Canis lupus familiaris: one gene and its partners. The protein of the gene in region 2 interacts with the protein of the main gene of each other region in a pairwise test. Links are inferred from orthologs where the notes say so. Each region holds a gene or a part of one and is shown on either strand. Other genes may lie near its edges.

Region 1 (6,780 bases), on a different chromosome or scaffold from region 2:
CCCCCGGTCTCTGATCACAACCCTCCTGCTGCCCTCTCAGGCTTCTTTGGGGACATCAGAACGGGCCCCAGCACCCCCACCCCTTTTCCTTCCTGCTGCCGAGCCAGGACACCCTCGCAGCCCAGGTGTTTCCGGAATTCCCACAGCCCAAGGCTAGAGCCATGGCCGGAGTGATGCCGTTGCCTCCTCTGGTGGCCTTAGACCCATAGCTGCCCCTCTCCGGGTCTCAGCTGCACCAGATCCCTGAGGGTCTGCTGTACCCCAGCTCTTTTGAGTCCCACGTGTCCCGTGATGTGTTTGCTCATGGGCCGCCGTGTCCACCCATGTCCTGGAACGTTGTCTGGGGGCCGGTGTCTTTTGCATGTTCTTGGACGAGTGTGTGCTGCTCCCCCTCCACACACCTACCACCACTAAGCCCACTAAGCCCGAGTGTGCCCTGTGGGTGGTCCTGGGCCTGGCCAGGGCTCGCTGCTCCCCCTCCCTACCCTCCCCAGCCCTGCCTCTCACGAAGCACACTGCGTGTCTATCCCATGTGCCTGTGGGTCGATGCACGCTCTTGCCACGCCTTGAGCGTGTGTACATGATGTGTTCTATGCATTCACCCTGTCCCCCCAGCCCGCCCCGCAGAGGACAAGATGGGTGGCCCCCGGCTCCCTTCTCCCCCTGCCCCTGCCCGCTGTGCAGCCGTGTGCGTTGGCGTGTGTTTCCGTGTCGCTGGCGTGTCACGTGATGTAGCCGTGTTTGCTGACATGAGCCCTTGCCCCTTCTGTTTCTCCGTTGGTTTCTAGAGCTCTTTCCTTTTCCTCCCCGAGGGGACAGGACTCCTGGGGCCTGGCTGGGGGCCCAGAGCCAGGCCTCCCTCTCCTGTTAGCCCTCAGAGTCCCATTTCTCTCTATTGGTGACCAAGTTGCAAATGGATAAAACACAGGAAAATTCTGCCCCCCCCCCACCCCACCCTGCATGTCCTGTCCCCAGAGCCCCCCACCCCCACCCCGGGCCGGGTCGGGCCCCGTGGGACGGGAGAAATAGCAACCAATCCAACAGCGGGCGTGCTGTGTGGTCACTTCCTTCTGTCGCCGTGTGGGACAGGCGCCGTGGGGAGGGGGAGACGTGGTGGGAGACAAAGCCGGACAGGTGGATAGACCCAAGCTGGGTGAGGAGCTTTAATCCAGGGCTCGGCCAGGTATAGCATTCCTGGGGCAGATCCCTCAGGCAGAGCTCTGACAATATTATAGGAACAAATTTGGGTGGACGGGTGGGAAGAAGGGAAAGTACACGGATTTGCTTAGGCTTCACAGGAAAGAGAGCTGTCCGAAGGTAATAAAAATTTTAAAATAATGGGATGCTGACCGCCAAGGAGGGCCAAAGGTGGTGGGAGGAGCCACAAAGCAACTTCAGTCCAAATGCAGGCCCAAGGGTCCTGCCTGGACGTCAGAAGGCCAGCATGAAGCCCGTGGAACTCTTCACTTCCTGCTTGAAAAGCCAGAAAGGGACGGGGCAGGTGGGAACATTAGGGGAATCAGACATTTGCCAAACCCTGCCCTAGAACTCAGAGGTACCGGGACCAAACCCACAGCTCGCTCCCGTGGATTAAAGATGTGGAGGGCTGTGGGCGCGTCAGTGTGGTGCCAGACGCCCCTCCAGCGCTAGGAGGCAGGCCTCCCTCCTTGCCCAGGGTTTGAGGGCTCGGGGGGCCTCCCTCTCCCTGCTCCACCGTCACCGGGCCGAGCCCTCCATGGCCTGCACCCAGCGGATGGTGCGGGTCCGGCTGTCCTCCCACGAGAACAGGGGCTCATAGCCGAAGTGGCGCCGAGCCTTGTCGGTGTTCACAGTGAAGGCGGTGTTGGCCACAGCCAGCGTGTAGGGGTTGAGCAGGGGTGCATAGAGAAGCAGCGGCCGCAGCAGCCACTGCAGCAGGGCGTTGAGAGCAGCCAGAAGCATCAACAGCCAGTAGGGCACCAGCGGGCGGGTCTCCACCAGCCGCAGTCCGCAGGGGCCCAGGAACTCCATGTTGAAGTCCTCATAGCTCTTATAGGGCGACTGGTCATAGCAGAAGTACACCTGGCCGCCCATCAGGGCAGCTCGCTGCTGCAGCTCTCGAGCCACCAACACGTGCATCCAGGCCACGTTGCCTGTCAGCGGGGGAAGGGGGGCAGATGTGGCCCTGAGTGCCCTGGAGGCTGTGGAGACCCTGTGCTCTCCTGAGCCAGCCCGTGTCCAAGCTGCCCCTTCTTGGGGCTCACGTAGGTGTGCCTGTGAACCAGGGCCCTGGTGAAGGCTGCTTCCTCCCCAGGCCCTGTGGCCACTTGCTCTCCTGGGCCAGCCTGTGTGGATGCTGCTACTTCTGTTGGTCCTGTGTAGATGCTGCCCCTCACCTCTCCTGGAGAGATGCTGTTCTCATAACCAGTTGGCCTGTGATGTGTTTTTTATGTTAGCCTTCCCAACTCACACAGCTGGTGTGTCCTCCGTGGCCATGCAGATAATACCCGAGTATCCGGCTACTCTGGCCCATGTGTGGCTCTCCCTTTGCTAGCCGGGGCACACACTGCCCACCCAGGACTACGTGGGTCCTGCCCCGTTCTCAGCCTTCCCCGCCACCCCACCCCCCCTCCACAGTGTAGCCCGGGCCTTACCCACATAGACCCGGCCATGCTCCACAGAGGCAGGGATGGTCCGGAAGAGTCGACCCCCCAGACGAAGGCCCTGGTGGTAGAAGTCCCTCATGATCTGGTGGCCTTCACCGTAGATGCCAGTGGGACGCAGGGCGCATGTCACCAGGGGCAGCCCCCCATGGACCTGGGGGCAAGAGGTAGGCATAGCTAAGACCTAGGACCCAGCGGCCTGCCCTCTGCCCTGGCCTCCCGAAATCGATGATTGGGGCAGGATGTAAAGTAGTCCCTCTGGCCTCGGCTCTGCCTCTGACTAGCAGCCCTGCCCACCACGTCTTTGTCTCTTCGCCTCCTGTCTCACCTTCCTTCCATTGGCTTCCAGGACCAGCCGCTCAGCTTGGGCCTTGCTGCAAGGATAGGGGTGCCTGTGTACTGCTTCATATGGGGTGTCCTCATTGCCCCTAGTTGAGGAAGAGGAAAATTCTTTTTTTTTTTTTTTAAGATTTTATTTATTAATTCATGAGAGACACACACAGAGAGAGAGACAGAGGCAGAGAGACAGGTAGAGGGATAAGCAGGCTCCATGCAGGGAGCCCGACGTGGGACTCGATCCCGGGGCTCCAGGATCAGGCCCCGGGCTAAAGGCAGCGCTAAACCACTAAACCACCCAGGCTGCCCAAGAAGGAAAATTCTTAATGCTGAGGGGAGATGGGGCTCTCAAGTACTGGGGGGAAACTAAGCTTACCTGTAGAAGTGGTGGCCTTTAATGTTGGGCCCCACAACTTCCATGCTGCTCGTGTAGACTAAGAACCGTGTTCCAGTCTGCACACAAGCCTCAATCACGTTCTTTGTGCCTGGGAGAGGTGGCAGGGAGGGAAAGAGTGATGTGCAGTGAGGGAAAGACTGAAGCTAAAACTTCCTCCCTCGCAGCATCTTTCCCACCCCCCATCTCCACTCTGGATGAGGGCCCGTGGCTTCCTTCCCCAGGTCCAAGGAAAACTACAGCAGGTCAGTGAGGGTAGCCAAATTGCCATTACAGGGGCAGGAGTGTCCAGAGGACAGGTTTTCACAAGAGAATCCCAGAAGTCAAGGTCAAAGAGGGGGTAGGGAACAAATAGCCACCTCACCCTGCACGTTGACCTCATAGATGGTCTCAGGGCTGGCCCTCCCAAACACATCCACCAGCCCGGCTGTGTGGATGACTACGTGGGCTCCAGCCACAGCCGCTGCCACCTCGTGGGCTTGGGTCACATCCCCCTGGATGGCAGTCACCTGCACAGGCCCTGGGAAGGATAGGAGAGGCAGCCAGAAGCAATGTCTTGAGCTGGGGCCGCTGGCCAGCTGCTGGGTTCAGCCTACACCCTTAGGAGCCACATATTCCCAAAGTGACTCATTCATCCCATCCATGGGCGCGGAAGTTATAAACAGGCATCATCTTTTCCACCACGGCAAAGGGAGTCCGCCCACCCCACTCCTTCCCTCCCCACTGTGATTTACCTGTCTTCAGCTCCTCCAGCCAGGCACCCAGGTGCAGGTCAAAGACCCGCAGCTCTAAGAGCCGGGGTTCCCGCTGCAGAAGCATCCGCACCACATGCTCCCCCAGGAAGCCGCAGCCACCTGTGACCAGGTACACCAGCTCCCGGACCTCTGTGGAGTCTGCCATGCCTGGCTCGGGAAGAGAACCTGAGTTACCTGCCACCACCCACCCAGCGCCAGCAGCACACCTGCGACCCTGAGATGGGGCCTCTGGCCTAGGGGACGGGAGCCGAGACACAGGGGCCAGAGTGGCTCCCAAAAGCTGGGGCTGTGGCACAGCAGCTAGGCTACCACCTGTCTTCTGACCCTGCCAGCTGCAGCTACTGCGACTGAAAGGGTGAGGGATTGGCGTTTTAGGAAGGGCTCAGGGGTTGAGCTGGAGGGGAAGGTTCCAAGACAAAAATGGAGGGTAGGAGGTGAAGGGTTGAAGAGGAAGGGAGAGGGAGATGGGAAGGGCTGTGACTAGGGAAGGGGACCTGGGAGCCCTGGCATCACCTCTGCCTACCTGCAGCCACGGTCCCGAGATACTCAAACTGCCCACCGGAGGGGCCGTCTTCTTTCGGAGCCCCAGCGGTCGGCCAACACACCGTCCCCTTCCGCTTGCTCCTCCTCCCTCCTGGCCCATTCCAGGAACAGACACCAGCCCAGCCTCCACCCCTCCGTCCCCTGAGCTCTTGCCATAGGGCGCCCCCTGGCGGCCACTCTGCGCTCCGCGGGCGTCTGCTTCCGGCAAAGAACTTGGGGAATACGGCCCGGGGAAGCCAGAACACGCTGGGTGGGCAGAGGATGGGACAGGTGGGATGACCTCACTCCCACCTCATGACGTCAATCCTTCCCCTTTGCTGGATTTCCCAAGATACCAGAAGCCCAGCAGCGGCTGTGGTTCTGGGAAGGGAAGGGAGGCTGACCTTGGCCCAGCTCTGGCTGACCTTGGTGGGGGATTTCTGGATGACTATTCCAGACTAATAGGTGACCCAGAGCAATGGTGGTTGAGTCTGCAGGTCTACCCACCCAACCTGCAGGCCACCCATTTCCCCTTCTCTTCACTTGCAACCAATCCTCTGTCCTGAACCCCCAACCCCCCGCCACCCACCTACTCTTCCCCAAAGATACTGACCAAGCACTTTTGTACAATAAAGTTTAATCACAATTATAAAAATGTGGCGTTGGGTTTGCGCTATTAACATATGTACAATCCAGCCCAATAGGAAGGGCCCACCCCCCATCATCCTGGTCTGGCAGAGCAGAAGCTTCCAGGAACCAGGGTGGGAGGGTGACCCACAGGGTCTGGCAGGAACAGAAGATGAGGCAGGGTTCCAGGCACGGAGTCCCTAGGACTGGGGGCACAGGGCACCCCCCCCAGGGGGAGAACATGGCCGCTGCCCCTAGAGACCCCTGAACTGGGGAGGGGTGCACGCAGGGCACAAAGGGGAAGTCCCCATTAACACAAAGCAAGGGGGCTATGCAGCCCCCCAAGAACAGGATCTGTACAGGCCGGCACCCCAGGTTTCCACAGGAAACAGCTGCTGGCAGCTACAAAACATTTACAGCTTCTTCTCCGCAAAGAAAAAAAAGTTAGGAGGTGGGTGGGCAGGGGCGACAGGGGAGGCAGGAGTTACCTCCGGGGACTGAGGCTCCCTCACTGGGCTTAGGGCTCCCCAGACCCCAGGGAAATAAATAGAGGCGCGGGCGCCGGTCCCGCCCCACCTCAGTTGAGGGAGCCCCGGCAGCTCTCGGTGCCGCACAGACACGGGATCTTGTTGTCCTCCAGAGGGAACTTGTAGTCGTACGTGATCTCCTCGTCCACACCAATCGGCTGCTTGGAGTAAATCACGATCTTCTTCTGGGACTCGATGGTGATCACCTTGGCATAGCAGTTGGGCTGTAGGAGGGGAGGGCCATGTGAGCTTACGCCCTTGGTCCTGGAGTCTCCGCCCCACCCTGAGCACCTCCCACCCCGTTCCCCCACCCCCCTGCGCACCGTGCAGCAGTGGTTGATGAACCGCGCCAGGTTGCCGCACTTGGTAGCGTCGATGATGGTGTCATGGTCTACCCGGAACAGGTAGCTGCTGCCAATACCCTCCTGCACGTAGCGCTTCTCCCGCATGTCAGCCACCATCTGGTAGGACGGGGTGCCGTCCCAGTCAGCTTCCTGCCAGACTGGGCCTGACCCCACCAGCCCCAGTGAAGGGGACCCGCTTGGCCTTCCAGCTACCACCCTGGGGTGGGTGGCACATTGACCTGTCTTGGTGAGCAGCTCCTCCTCTGGCTCCCACCCACCCAAGGAGTCAACCACCTGCTTCCAAGGGCCCCCTCCTCAAGGTTCCCCCCACACCGACACCTTTGGCTGCCACTTTAAGTCTCCCAAAGGGGATCTCAGGAAAATGTGCCGGGCTCAGTGGGCTTGAGCAGCAGCCACTGGCTCCTCCTGGAGCCTCTGCCTGGCCCATGGTGGAGCCCCCAGCCTCCTGTGAAGCCATGCTGGTTCCTGATGTGACATGGTCATTTTGGGGCCCGAACCCTATTCGTCTCTTCTCCCAGGACCCTCTGTCCAAGACAGGCACCCCCAGGCTGCCACTTGATGCCCTCAAGGTCCACATTCTTGTGTGAGGAGGAGTGATTCCTATTTCCCAGA
Region 2 (6,780 bases):
CACAGTCCTCACACCTGTAGGCATGCAGGCCCAAATCTTCCTTGCTCAGTGGCTTAAGCTCACCTGGCTTGAGCTCCGATTTGGGCTGCACACGGATTATCCCATCAGCAACAGGCCCCGAGGAGAAAGATGGTCCTAAGAGTCTCTGTTCAGAGGAACTGCTGCTGGTACTTGTCCTTGTACTGCTCCGAGAGCCGGAGCTGACTGTGCTGATGGACCTGGACAGAGGGACTCGTGCAGAAGAATGGGCCTGTGGGTGCTGGAACCTGGGAGGCTGGCGGTGCTCGGGCAGACCGTGGAGCCTCTCGTGTTTGTGCTGAGTGGAGGGGCGAGGAGCAGGCTTGAGCCCAGGTCTCGGGACCACAGTAGGCCCCTCCGTGTACTCATTGGTGTTTCGGATGGCTCTGATCTGATCCAGAGACAACACGTGTACCTGCTGGGTGAGGGCATCCCTGGGGTCAGGCTCCCCACGCTGCCTGCCAACGTCACGGGGTGCCTGCAGCAAGGACTGCGACCCGCTGCCGCTCTGAGCTCTGGCCTCCATCAGGTCTTGGAAGTGTGGTCACTCCAGCGGGCTTAGAACACATCTGAATTCCTGCAGAAACCAAGAGGAAAGAGCTGGTTTACACTCCAGGATACTTCCCACTCTCCGCCCACCTGAATTAACTCTTTCCTTTCCATTCCCCCAGAGAGACAGGATTTGAAATGGGAGTTGCTCACGGAGGGTGGTGGAAGAGCCATAGGATCAACGCCACACCAAAAAGTAAAAAAATTAAAGCCGGGTACTGACGATTCTTTAATCTTGCGATGTGTAGAGACACAAAGCTGATCTTGGTTCAATCACATAGGTAACGATTCCTTATTCAAATAAACATAAAATTGCAAGGTTCATGTTCAATGTGAAGGCTGCAGGAATATAACGTTAGAACAGAACACTGCTGCCAACATATGCGAAAGTTGAAAACTTTTTCAAAATCTGAGATAGGTTTAACTTTGTCGTGGGCATTTTTGCCTTAAACAGCAATAAATGCAGCCTAGAAATAGAAAGTCTTTCTTGTCTGCTTTTACATCAAATACCTTTAACTATAATTCATCCAGTATTCTGCAGCTTTTTAGAATACCGTAGAATGAATGCGACTTGCAAAAAAGCAAATACTTCGCCCCTCCAAGGAAGTTACAAATTTTACAACAGTCAAACATTATTAACTATATAGTAGCAAAAGTTTTAAATGAAACACAAATCCATTCAAATCCTGTTAGGTGTGCCAGGAACACAAACCAACCAGCAACAAGACAGAAACTTATTTTCAAATGCTCAACAACCTGAGGATCAAATACTTTACAGTTTGATAGCCTGAGAGAGTATCTTTAATTCTGCAGCTAAAAGACTGTAAAAGACTGTTCTCCCGGTTTTAGAAATAAATTATGTCAAAAATCCTAATAGTTCAGAACCTGAACTGACTGGGGATAACAGGAAGGGTTTCAAAAATTCTTGTCACGTCTCAAATCTATCATTCTGACGTGTAATCACTTAAATTGCAATCCCTCTGTAAATTTCACAACTATCATACACACACACACACACACACACACACACCCCTTTGCCAAGTCTACAATGAACAAAAACGGGCAAAAGTGGACCTTTATCCAGTCTCCGATTTTTGTTAAGAGACACAGGCAGGTGACACACGCCTCCCAACTCGGAAGAAGGTAGAGCTGGAAACCGGATCTCCCAACAGAAAGGCAGACAAGACAACGTCGATCTTTGCTTTCACTCCGTGTATCGGCTCTATCTGCGTCCCAACACCGTCCCCAGCAGGTGGGACACAGTCGGAGCCCCGGGGGACGTTTCCCCGGGGAGACTGACACAGCCCAGAGGCCAAGCTGCCCTCCCCCCAGCACACAACCTCAAGACGCACTAGAAGGCGGGGGCGGGGGCGGGGGTGGGGTGTGCGGGCGCCTCCGAAGGGGACGTGCCTGCAAACGCCGGGGCACACTCCCCCCCCCACCTCCAGGCTAACATACCCCCCACTCCAGAGAACTGCCTTCCAGCTCCAGGAGGGAGCCACCCCGGCCCCAGGCACCCAGAGGTCCCGCAGCCCACTTGCAGGTCCACCTGGCAAAGGCCAGCGAACGTCCGGCACAGGGTTCAAGCCCTGGCGCCGAAAGCCATGCCTTAGACACGCTGCCGGGACCGAGCACACAAGCCACGCACCCTGGGCGACTCTACCAGGCACTGACCCAGGGGGCACCGGCTGCAGTCTGCACACCCCATCTCCTTTCCGGCGGAGAGAAAAAAGTGAAAGGAAAGTTGCTTTTTAAAGAAAGGTCAAGTCCCAGGGCCCCACTGCACAGGGCGTGCAGGACGCAGATCCCTAGGCTGGAAACTTTCCGCCAAGATTTGCTCGCAGTGCAGAGCAGCATCTTTGAAAGGGGTGGTGGTGTGTGTGTGCGTGTGTGTGTGTGTGTGTGTGTTTAATCGAAAATGATCACTGCCCATTCCTAGCCTCCTTCGCACCCAGAGCACCCGCCGCCCACCCCCCTCGCTCCCCTACCCCCCACCCCGAAAGTGCTCAGAAACCCCCATGAAGAAGTGTGTGATCGGACTTAAGGACTAAGGGGCAAGGACTTCAGCACGAGGGTGGGGCAGACCCAGAAACCGCTTGGTAAAAACGCACAAGATTCCGAATTCAAGGCAGCAGCAGCAGCAGCAGCAGCAACAGCAACAAAAAAGTAGATCAGCCCATCAAAGTAAATTAAAAAAAACAAAAAACCAAAAAACCAAAAACCCTAACCTCTTTTGCCACCTATTTTCAGGTAATGGAAAACGATAGCGACCGCTCGAGGACTTTCTTCCTGTGCTAGGTCCGCCCAATCTTCCAAAAATAAAACAAGTGTGACCCAGGCCGACCGCGGAGAACGGAAAAAGGAGAAAGCTGCACTTCCGAACCGCAGCCCCGGCGCCCGGCAGGGGGACGCTCGCACCCGGCCCGGCCCGGCCCCCCTCCCCGGCCCCGGCCCCGGCCCCGGCCCCTGCCCAGGCTTCACCGGCGGCTCCCGCTGCCCCCGGAGGCGAGCGACTCGCGCGCCCTCCGTCCCGCTGGCGCCCCTGCCCCGGGACCCTGTCGCCCAGGGCTTGCCCCCCCCCCCCAAGAACAGGTTAGAAATGCGGGCGCCTACGGCGGGGACCTGGAACACACAAAGTGTTCCGCCTCCGTCTCCCGCTCTCCGCGCCGACTCCGCGGCCGCCCCAACCCCCCAGAGCGCGGGCGCCTGGGGTCCTGGGGCTGCGGACGCCCGACCCCGCGCGCTGCAGCCCCCGCCGAGCCAGGCCGGGCCCGGGGCCGGGCAGCTCCCCGGGGTCCCCGCCGGGAACCTGCGGGGCTGGAGAAACGGAGGCCTGAGTGGAGACGGACCCCTCTCCGGGTCCGGCTGCACCTACTCCATGTTGCCCACAACGCGCCGGCCAAGGCGCCAGGAGGGGAAGAGCCAAACGTGCCTCACCGTGATCGCGGCTTTGCACCAACCCCTCTCCGTTGGATTCGCTGCCTCCTGCGATGTGCAAATAAAATCCAGCCCCGATGCAAACTCCCCCCCCTCCCCCCCGCCTTCTTTCCAAACTCTGCTTCGCTCCAAGTTCCGAGCAATCGGCGGGAGGAAAAAAAAGGAGAGGAAAATCCGGAGCCAAGTCCCCAGCCGATGAGCAGCAAGCACTCACTCCGGGGCTCGCGGCTGGGGGCGACCCCCCTTCTAGAAACGCACGCGGAGTATTTCCTTTTTCTCAATGAACTGGAGGCCGAAGCGCCAACGGCTAGTCTCCTTTCCCGGCGGACGAGCGAAGGGGAAAAAGAAAGCCGCCTCGGAGAGAGTCTAAAGCCAGATGGCCAAGCGGTGCGGCGGCGGCCGGGCGGAGGCGGAGGCGGAGGCGGAGGCGGAGGCGGAGGCGGCGCGGGGGCGCGGGCCGGGCCGGGCGGGCGCGGGCGCGGGCGCGGGGGCCTGGGCGCTGCGCGCTCCGCCGGCCCCTCTGCTCGGCTCGCGCTGCGCCGCGCGGCTCTCAGCGCTGCAGACTGGGCGTTGTGGAGGCGCGGCGGCGAGGCCGAGGCGGGGGCGGCGGGGGCGCGGGGGGCGGGGGGGCGGGGGGGCGGGGGGGGCGGGTCTGGGGCCCGGCCGGGGGGGCTCGCCGTTGGCCTGCGCCCTCGTCTTTCCGGAGGCAGCGAGCTCTGCGGCGGCCGCGGCAGCAGTAAATGGCGTCATGTGGATCCGAGGCGGAACAGAGCAGTTGTTGTCCCAGAGGATATATCGCATCCGGTCCCAGCTCATTGGCTCCGCGGGGCTACATTCACTCACACTTCAGCGCCCGCCAGCGCTCCGAGCCGCAGGAGGCATTCAAAAGGGCAACCGCGCCGCCCCGCGCGTCCCCAGGCCGGTCCTGCCGCCCGGGCGCCGGCGCGCGGGGCGCCCGCGGGGCCGCGCCGGGCACGGCGGCTCACTCTGCCTAGTTGCACGGAAACCCCGACCCGAAGGTTTCCCCGGAGGCCGCGAGGACGAGCCGCGGGCTCGGACCCGACCTGGGGCACTTTCTCCTCGCCCCTGGGAAAGGGGGAGGGGAAGGGAACGGCCAAGCCCGACCCGGGCCACGCAGTGCTGTGCTGGCACGAAAACAACGAGGTGCAGGTTCTGAGAGTTTCCTCGGGATCCGCTCTCCGGCCCACCTCTCTCCCCTTTTCGGTTCCCCCTCGAGGGGGCGACGCGGAGAGGAGCGGGGGGAGGGGAAGGGGAGCGGGAAGTGAGGTGGGAGGGCTGTTGGTTTATTCTTTGTCTCCTGGATTAACCCGATTATACACCAGGCACCAGCGCAAGCCGCCTCCCCCGCCTCGCAGCCGCGGACCGGAGGCGCGGAATGCAGCTTCGGGGCTCCAGCACTTTGTGCCCCGACCGAGACTGGCCATTGATGGACTCACTCTGTAGTTTTCAGTTTAGTGTCGGATTTTATTTATTTATTTATTTATTTATTTATTTATTTATTTATTTATTTATTTATTATTCATGTATGTATGTATGTATGTATTTATTCCACGGAGACTTAGCTAAGCGATGGAAGATCTGCTGTTGGACGCACTAGCTGAAGGGAACTCTGCGGTCGGAGCCTTTTTAAAAATTCGTTAATCACCTACACGGGGACTCAAGGTCGACACGCCGGGCTCCTGAAACGGTCCGGGGCTCGCTGTTCCCGGCAGAGTCCCTCCGCTTAGCCAAAAGGCCGCCGTCATTTCTGACTCGCCCTTGTCACCTAGAGCATTTCCCAAGAAGCTCCTGTTTTTGTACGTTTCGAAGGTGGTCTGTATGCTCCCACTTTAAAAAAAAAAAAAAAAAAGGAGAAATAAGATAGAAAACGCGTAGGTACGCAGGGCTCTAACTGCCGTTCATTTACTTAAGAAACGTGCTTGCACGTGGGCGCACCGGTGGGAAATGACCCCCCCCCCAACACACACACACACACACACACACTCCTGATGCTCCTGGATTCTAATAATTTACGGACTGTTTCCACTTTGCAGGGAAGTACGGCCAAGCCTCCCGAACAGCACCTGCCCTCGTGCGGGGTGAGGGTTCTTGCAATAGCGCGGGGAAGGCGCGCTGCCTTCTTCTGCAGAACCGGGGGCAGCTCCAGCTCACACCCGTTTGCAGCTACTCCGGCACTCGCTGCCGTGTCTAGACCGCCCCGGGCGCGCTCCCCGCCGCGCTGCGCTCTCGCCCTGCCTTCTCCATGTTTCTCTAGGGCTCTCCCCACTCGCCCTGGGTTTGGAACAAGAGATGGCAGGGGAAGTGGCATGCGTGATTTCCGGGTGTTGGCCTACGCCCCCCGCCCCCCACCCCCCACCCCTCGGTGAGGGTGCACGAGGCTAGGTCGGCCCGCTCCGGCGTGTCCCTGGGGCTGAGGGCAAGGGACTAACTACCCGGCCTCTCCCCGGCCCGGGCAGCTCGCCCGACGCCCAGGTCCTTTGAGCTTCGGGGTGAACGCGGGCGCCGCTGCGTTTACGGCCCGTGCGGCCACCAGGGGGCGCCCGCCCGGCGCGGGGTCGGGGCCCGGGCGGCCTCCTATCCACCCCAGGACCGGGCGAGTTCAGGCCGGGGAGCTTCAAGTGTGCATTAGGCCGGCTGGTTCACGATGATCGAGGACAGCCAGCTTGCCCTGCCACCTCCTGGGACGCATTCCGTTTGGAATCCGAGAGGAGGTCCCGAGGCTCGAGAGAACCCCGGCGCTGCGCAATGGGGAGGAGGTGGGGGCCGAGGCCAGGTGTGCGCGGCTGGTGGGGAGCTCGCTGCCCGCAGGAGGGCGGCAGGTCCCGGGCGCGGCAGGTGGAGGACACGCCTTCTCTCCGTCTTCTCAAACCCCTGCACCCAGCGGCTGCTCCTTCGGAGACACTGGTGCCCGCGTTTCCCTCCCAGCCCCGCAGGAACTTTGCGGAGACACACTGTTCTGAATCAAAGCATAAACTGGGAATTTAAATGAGGAGCTTCCGGCTAGTCAGAGCGCCTTATTTTTATTGAGTCGATGGGCAAGAACCTAGGAATGTATACTTCTCTTTCCTGAGTTAGAATCCCATGTAATTTAGCTCTTCCTTCCTGTCCTCACAGCCTCCAGCCTGCTGACTGGAAGAGCATGTAACCTATACCTCGAGCACCAGATAAAAACAAGAACCTGCTGGGTCCTTCGTGACTCCGTCTTTATCGTTTATTTTATTTAGTGAAATTATTTTTTTTTCAGATGTAAATGTA
Region 3 (6,780 bases), on a different chromosome or scaffold from region 2:
AAACAGAGAAACTAAAGAAAAGGAGTAACAGAAGTTTTGAAATTGAGAAAAAAAGGAAGCAAACAAGAGATGAAAGCCCTAGATAATCTAGGCAATCCAGTTCAAAGCTGAGTCAGATCTTGCTGAAACACAGAGCCCCTATAATAATACTCTGGCAAAAGGAGGTATTGTGGCCTCATTCTATGAAAGAGCTAGGACGGCTTACTGAGGATACACCAGCGGATGAAACATAAGAGCGGTGATACCAAGTCCACGGGATTGTAGACCAACATATGGTCTCTCTCTCTGTTGAAGTCATTCTTCTAACCATTCTAGGTGACAGAAATCTGACACTGCTTATAGGCTAATCAATTCAGCATTTATTTGGTTTCTGTTAAGTGTTTCACATGTGTATACATTCCAAATTAGATCATTAACTTCTGGAAAGCAGAAGATATCTTACTTATTTTATTTTCATCCATATAACTTAGGACAGTGCTATGCATGTAGAAGATAGATGCTCAAACCTACTGATTCTGAAAAATCACAACATACAATTACAACAGTAGAGTTTAAAAAAATCTTAAAAGATCTAGTCTAGCCTCTTTATGTTCTGTTTTTGTTGTTGTTGTTGTTGTTGTTTTAAGTAGGCTCCACACCCAGTACAGAGCCCAACGCAGGGCTCAAACTCACAACTCTGAGATCATGACCTGAGCTGAGATCAAGAGTCCGACGCTTAATGACCTCAGCCACTCAGGCGCCCCTAGCCTCTCTATCTTAAAAGCAAAGAAACTAAGAGTAGTTAAATGTCCAACAGCCTAAAGTCACAGAGCTAGGATTAGCACCCTAATCCCAGGATAATCAGTTCAACTTTTTCCAAATAGCTCTAATTTCTTCCATTATAATAAAATGAATAATCACCTATTTCATCAGAAAGCAAAGTAATAGCACCAGTATTCACTACATGCTAGGGCTTTCAGAAGGTCAGAGTTGTTGGCAGACCACCTGCTGTGGTCTGGGATGGCTACTCTATAAACATTGATAAACATTTATAAACATTATTTTTTTACTTAATATTCACAATAAGCACTATAAGGAGTAACAACCCAGTTTTACAAATGTAAATTTACCATAATAACAGCAAGTGCAGAACCCAGATTTTGTTACCAGTGGCTCTCAACCACATCCTATTCTGCTTCTCGTTGAATTAAACACGAAAATCCCAAAGTGCCAAGAGCCCAGCACAGTACCTGACCCAAACAAAATAAACAAATGTTTAAAAGACTCACTAAATTAATGGATCGTTTGATTAATTAAAAAGTAAGTTTTCTCACAGTAAATACCTCTAAAATAAAAAAAAAAAAATTAAAAAAAGGTTTCCCTGTTCAGCTAATTACATAATCCCGAGAAAGGTTTTAATAGTGAGCAGTATGCATACTAAGAGCAGATTTAAGGAATGGCTAATTTCTTTATCCTACAAATAATTCATCTGTTCAACAAATATTAAGTGAAAAACTATTTTTGTGACACAGTGTTAAATCTGAAGTAAAATAAAACTTGCTCCTACAATATTCTATTCCATAAATTAAAACCCACACAAGTCTCTAAACCATTTGCCAAAACCAAAACACACGTGTAACATCTCCCTCCTGGTAGAGGAAAAAGAAATAACACTAAGTGAACACCTACAATGTGCCAGTTCTTAATCCTCAACATACAGTCTCGCCTGATCCCTTATAACCAAGTGAACTAGGCCACATCTGCATTTCTGATTAACAAATTCAGGCTTTAAGAGATTAAGTACTGGACGCTTGGGGGGCTCAGTGATTGAGCATCTGCCTTGGGCCCAGGGTGTGACCGCAGGGTCCTGGGATGGAGTTTCTGGGATGAAGTCCCACACTGGGCTCCCTGCAGGTAGCCTGCTTCTCCCTCTGCCTGTGTCTCTCATGAACAAATAACAAATCTTTAAAAAAAAAAAAAAAGAGAGAGAGAGAGAGAGATTAAGTACTTGTCTCAAGTCCTTTGGCTAATTAATTACTACAAATAACAGAACTGGAACCCAAGTCTCCTACAGTTGTTAAAAGTCTTATTATTTTATTTGCCCACCAAGGCAGAGAACAGGTTTCTTTCTGAGACCAAAAGCTGCTTGTTTTAACAACAACAACAAAAGAATACATTATCACGATCCTCATAATAGCCTATTAGTTATTGTCACTTCATACCATAAATACAAATGATGAAGCTAGAACTCAGAGGAGTCTGCCCAAGAACATAGTGCAAGGAAGCAGAACTTTACCAGGTCTGCACCAGGTGTGCATGCAACACTGGAAACCACAGCGTTAAGACTCAAAACATCTAAAGTAGTTGGGCCTTGTGTTTGCCAGATGAAAAAGAATGGCAGATCTCATATCAACTTCTACTTGCAGTGTGCGGAAGGAGAAGCCGATGTTCTCATAACGTTCTTTTAAGTGGCAACCCGAAGACTGGGCTCTCCATTCCAAGCCTACAGGCCACTTCATTACTACCAGCAACAGCGCTAGGGATCTGTTATCAGTTACAATTACTCCTAAAGTGCCAAACAATGTACCACGCCACACACCAACGGTTCACTGAAAGAACACTATGTCAGAATACATAAAATCAACATCTCAGTATTTAAGACTTTCACTGAGAAGACATGAACAGACCTATTCCTTGGCAACATTTTCGAGTCATCATCTGAGAACTTTATGCCCTGGTGTATTTTTTAAGGCCTAAGTGTGAACTAAAAGAAAGGGCATGTCCTATGGCAGCTCCAAAGATGTTACTACTGGGGATCCCTGGGTGACGGCTCGGCGGTTTGGCGCCTGCCTTTGGCCCAGGGCGTGATCCTGGAGACCTGGGATTGAGTCCCATGTCGGGCTCCCTGCATGGAGCCTGCTTCTCCCTCTGCCTGTGTCTCTGCCTCTGTGTGTGTCTCTCATGAATAAATAAATAAAATCCTTAACAAAAAATAAATAAAAATGTCACTACCTTGGTCGCAAAGACTTACTGTACAGCTCTGTTTCTCAGAAATCCTGAGGAGCCCTTTCTGGTTGAGAGCAGCTCAAGCATCTTCCTAAAGAACTGTCCCATCTGCTTCTAGTAAATCAAAGTGATGAATAAGACGGTGGTTGGGTGTTAATACGCGGCACTCTGAGTGTGTGTGTGTGTGTGTCCACGTTTCACTGGGCGACGCAGGCTGGAAGCCCCAACCCCGAGGTCAGCAGAACCATCCCGCTCCGGGGGAGCCAGGCAGCCGTGCACGTCCGTCGCCGCCACCGCACCCTGGAGGCCGTGGTCCCGCCTTCATCCCGCAGAGACCGCGGGAGCCCGGAGCTCCCTCCGAGCTGCCCCGAGGGCCCCGAGCCCGCAGCGGGAGCAAGGCCAGGCCATGCACGGCCCCGACCCCGACCCCGACCCGGGCGGCCGAGCTGCACCGGAGGCCTCGAGCCTGCAGCGGCAGCCAGGCCAGAAGGCCCGGGGTCGTGCACCAACCCCCTCCAGCGCACAGACCCGCCCCGACCCGGGCGGCCGAGCAGCACCGGAGGCCCCAAGCCTGCAGCGAGAGCCACGCCGGCGGGCCGGGGACCGTGCACCCCCCGCCCCCAGACCCCGACCCGGGGACGAGCTGCCCCGGAGGTCCCGAGCCCGGGGCCGTGCACCCCCCCTCCCCCCCGTCCAGCGCACAGACCCGCCCCGCCGCCAGACCGCGACCGGAGGCCCAGAGCCTGCAGCCGGAGCCTGGCCAGCGGGCCCGGGGCCGTGCACCGCCCCCTGCCCCCGCCTCCAGACCGCGACCCGGCGGCCGAGCTGCCCGGAGGCCCCGAGCCCGCAGCTGCAGCCAGGCCGGCGGACCCCGAGCCGTGCCCCCCGCCCGCCGCCAGACCCCGGGGGCCGAGCCCGCAGCGGGAGCCCCCCCAGCCCCGCCCGCCGCGAGCGCCCGCCTTCCCCCCGAAAGTTGCGACCTGTGCCCGCGGCCGCGTCCAGCACGGACGCCCGCCCCGGAAGCGCCCCCGCGGCCCGCACGGCGCCGAGCAGCGCTGCCCCCCGCGCCCCGCGCCCCGGGCCGCCCAGCCGCCGCCGCCCCGTTATCCGCTCGCAGCCGCGGCCGCGCTCGGGCCTGCCCGCCTGTCCGCGCCCCGCAGCCCCCGCACGGCCCCGGGCCCCGCCGCAGCCCTCCGCGCGTCCCGGGGGGACCGGCGCCCGCGGCCCGGGGCTGGGGCGGCTCCGGGCGGCCCCTCACCTCCGGGTGCAGCAGGGGCACGCAGCCCGCCTCGGCGTCGTACTCGTCCGGGCCGTCCGCCATCTTGGTGTTAAATCCCTGCGCCCGCTGCATGCCGGGAGAAAGCGGTTCCCCCCGGCGGGGCTCGGGCGCGGCGAGGGCACGCGCGAGGGCGAGCCGCGGCCCCCGCGCACCCCCCTGCGCCCCCCCCGCCTCCCTCGGGGGCGGGGGTCCCTGTGCGCGTGCGCGCGGGGCGGGGCGGGGGGAGCGGGGGAGGAGGCTGTGCGCGTGCGCGGCGCGGCCCCGAGACCCCGCGGCTGCAGCAGCGCGGCTGGGGCCTGGGAGGCCTGCTGGTCGTTGCCCGTGCGGCCCTGCACCCCCGCCGGGACGGCCTCCCGCGATGCACCCTCGGGGGCGCCCGGAGCAACGGGTGAGGCCTGGGGCCCGGGAGACGGCCCGGCCGGACCTCGTTGGTCTTCAATTAGCAGTAATTACATCAAAAACGTACACCCTCGAGGCCCACGCCCCCCCCCCCCACCTGCTGCATGTTAATGTAACCCGGGGGCTGAGAACCCACGTCGTTAAAACGGAATTCGCTGAAATTCGAACCGGATAAAAGGACCTAGGGCGTCTTTAAGCGCATATTAGGGCTGTAGGAATCGGGGCGGGGGGGGGGGGGGGGAGTGGCTCCTACAAATGTGCTAAAACAACAGGCCTACAACACATGCCTCTTTGATTTTGCTATTATTAAAAATTGTATTTTTTTTGCTATTATTAAAAATTGTAGCCCTAAGCTGCTCAGAGGAGGATGCAGCAGAGATCGCCAAAAAAATTGTTTGTTTTTTTTTTTGCTATTATTAAAAATTGTAGCCCTAAGCTGCTCAGAGGAGGATGCAGCAGAGACCGCCAGGACGATGCGTTAGAGATCCCGACAGCAGCCTGCCTCCCGAGCAAGCGCATCAGCCAGGAGCAGCCGCCGGGTAAGGTCGGGAGGGAGGGCCCAGGGAGGCGAGGGTCAGGGGCCTGCCCTCAGGCTGAGGCTCCCGCCAAGGGGAGCTGCAGGGTCTGCAGACGGCGGGGCGCAGCGCTGCATCCGACGCTCCCTGGGAAGCCGGGCCCGGAAAAGCGGGGAGCGACCGGGCATTGGATGCTCTCAAGAGGAGTCTGCTGTTCCTTCACGGGGTGCTCCCAGAAATGCATGAAGATAGCTAAATAGCAGATATTAGCTCCTGGAAATGCTGCATAGCTAACGGTCGAGGCATCATTCATAAGAGGGAGAGGCGGGCACAGCTCTTCACAGCTGCTGCACGGCCGGTGGGAAGAGCAAGGTCCTCTGCTGACTTTGCAGCTGGCTTACCTGCCTCCGTCCTCCCGGCAGCGCTGCTCTCGGTCTCCTCTCAGTCTGAGCTCATTTGCATCATTTTGGTCCCACCCCAAACCAAGGATTTGGGTTTGACTCTTTCACCCAGCCTGCAGAACTACACAGAATTAGGGTTCTCTCCCTTTGGAGCTCCAAACTGCTTTTAGATGCATTTTAACATAGAATTTTCTTTAAAACAAACAAACAAAAAAAAAGGATTTTATTTATTTATCCATGAGAGACACAGAGAGAGAGAGGCAGAGGGAGAAGCAGGCTCCCTGCAGGGAGCCAGAGGCAGCACTCAATCCCAGGACCCCAGGGATCACGCCCTAGGCTGGAGGCCGTGTGAAACCGATGAGCCACACGGGCTGCCCTAAAGTAGAATTTTCACTTCAACAATTCAATTTTCATCTTGCTCCTCCTTACCCTTATGTCATACATTTACTGGAAAGAGACAATGGGAGTAAAGAAAAGCAACAGTTGGGAGATGGGGTAAAGAAGATACTGAATTGTTGGGGGGTGACGGAGACACAAGGCATAGATAGCAGGCAAGAATGTTTTGCAGGTGCCCATGTGTTAGGAACATTGGGGTGTATGAGCTTACAAAAAATGAGGATGTTTAGCCTTCCCAGGACGCCTAGGCTCACAGGGGTCCCTAAATGGAAGGCTCAGTGGTCAAATTCAGCCACCAAAATGTTTCATTTGGCCTACATGGTAGTTTTCCAAATATTTTTGAAGTAGATACCAAAATTCAATAAATCAGGAGATTTCACTTTAAAATCTAGATTTCTAGGGTAGTCCAGGTGGCTCAGCGGTTTAGCGCTGCCTTCAGCCCAGGGCGTGATTGTGGAGACCTGGGATCAAGTCCCATGTCAGGATCCCTGCATGGAGCCTGCTTCTCCCTCTGCCTGTGTCTCTGCCTCTCTCTCTCTCTCTCTCTCTCTCTGTGTGTGTGTGTGTCTCTCATGAATAAATAAATAAAAATCTTTTTTTAAAAAAAATAAATATATATATAAAATCTAGATTCCTAGTTTAGCTGGAAAACATGAGAGATCTGGGCTTCCTTGCTTGGTCTCTACTGGGCTCATAGGCCTACATCACTCATCATCATTGCCTGGCTGCCATAGATGCTTTTATTTGTGACTTCCGGGAATTCTACAACATGGACAAAACACTAAAAGTGAATGAAAAGTTAAAG

The links.
Region 1: the proteins of SPRY2 (region 2) and HSD3B7 interact in binary tests that used the Homo sapiens proteins (3 or more experiments, as listed by UniProt). The two-hybrid records come from large-scale screens. The link is inferred for Canis lupus familiaris from reciprocal best matches to the Homo sapiens genes SPRY2 and HSD3B7.
Region 3: the proteins of SPRY2 (region 2) and ZDHHC17 interact in binary tests that used the Homo sapiens proteins (3 or more experiments, as listed by UniProt). The link is inferred for Canis lupus familiaris from reciprocal best matches to the Homo sapiens genes SPRY2 and ZDHHC17.

Annotation. Positions count from the first base shown.
Region 1 is NC_049227.1:17,381,467-17,388,246, forward strand, and holds HSD3B7 (3 beta-hydroxysteroid dehydrogenase type 7), read right to left. Parts: upstream 4,805-6,780; 5' UTR 4,651-4,804; intron 4,275-4,650; 5' UTR 4,273-4,274; coding exon 4,107-4,272; intron 3,893-4,106; coding exon 3,737-3,892; intron 3,464-3,736; coding exon 3,355-3,463; intron 3,071-3,354; coding exon 2,971-3,070; intron 2,797-2,970; coding exon 2,634-2,796; intron 2,133-2,633; coding exon 1,717-2,132; 3' UTR 1,136-1,716; downstream 1-1,135. Other genes in the region: histone-lysine N-methyltransferase SETD1A, read right to left, coding at 5,854-6,027, 6,127-6,264. UniProt on the Homo sapiens protein: The 3-beta-HSD enzymatic system plays a crucial role in the biosynthesis of all classes of hormonal steroids. HSD VII is active against four 7-alpha-hydroxylated sterols. Does not metabolize several different C(19/21) steroids as substrates.
Region 2 is NC_049243.1:33,465,286-33,472,065, forward strand, and holds the start of SPRY2 (protein sprouty homolog 2), read right to left. Parts: upstream 3,932-6,780; 5' UTR 3,505-3,931; intron 596-3,504; 5' UTR 545-595; coding exon 1-544.
Region 3 is NC_049236.1:19,761,349-19,768,128, reverse strand, and holds the start of ZDHHC17 (palmitoyltransferase ZDHHC17), read right to left. Parts: upstream 4,397-6,780; 5' UTR 4,337-4,396; coding exon 4,244-4,336; intron 1-4,243. UniProt on the Homo sapiens protein: Palmitoyltransferase that catalyzes the addition of palmitate onto various protein substrates and is involved in a variety of cellular processes.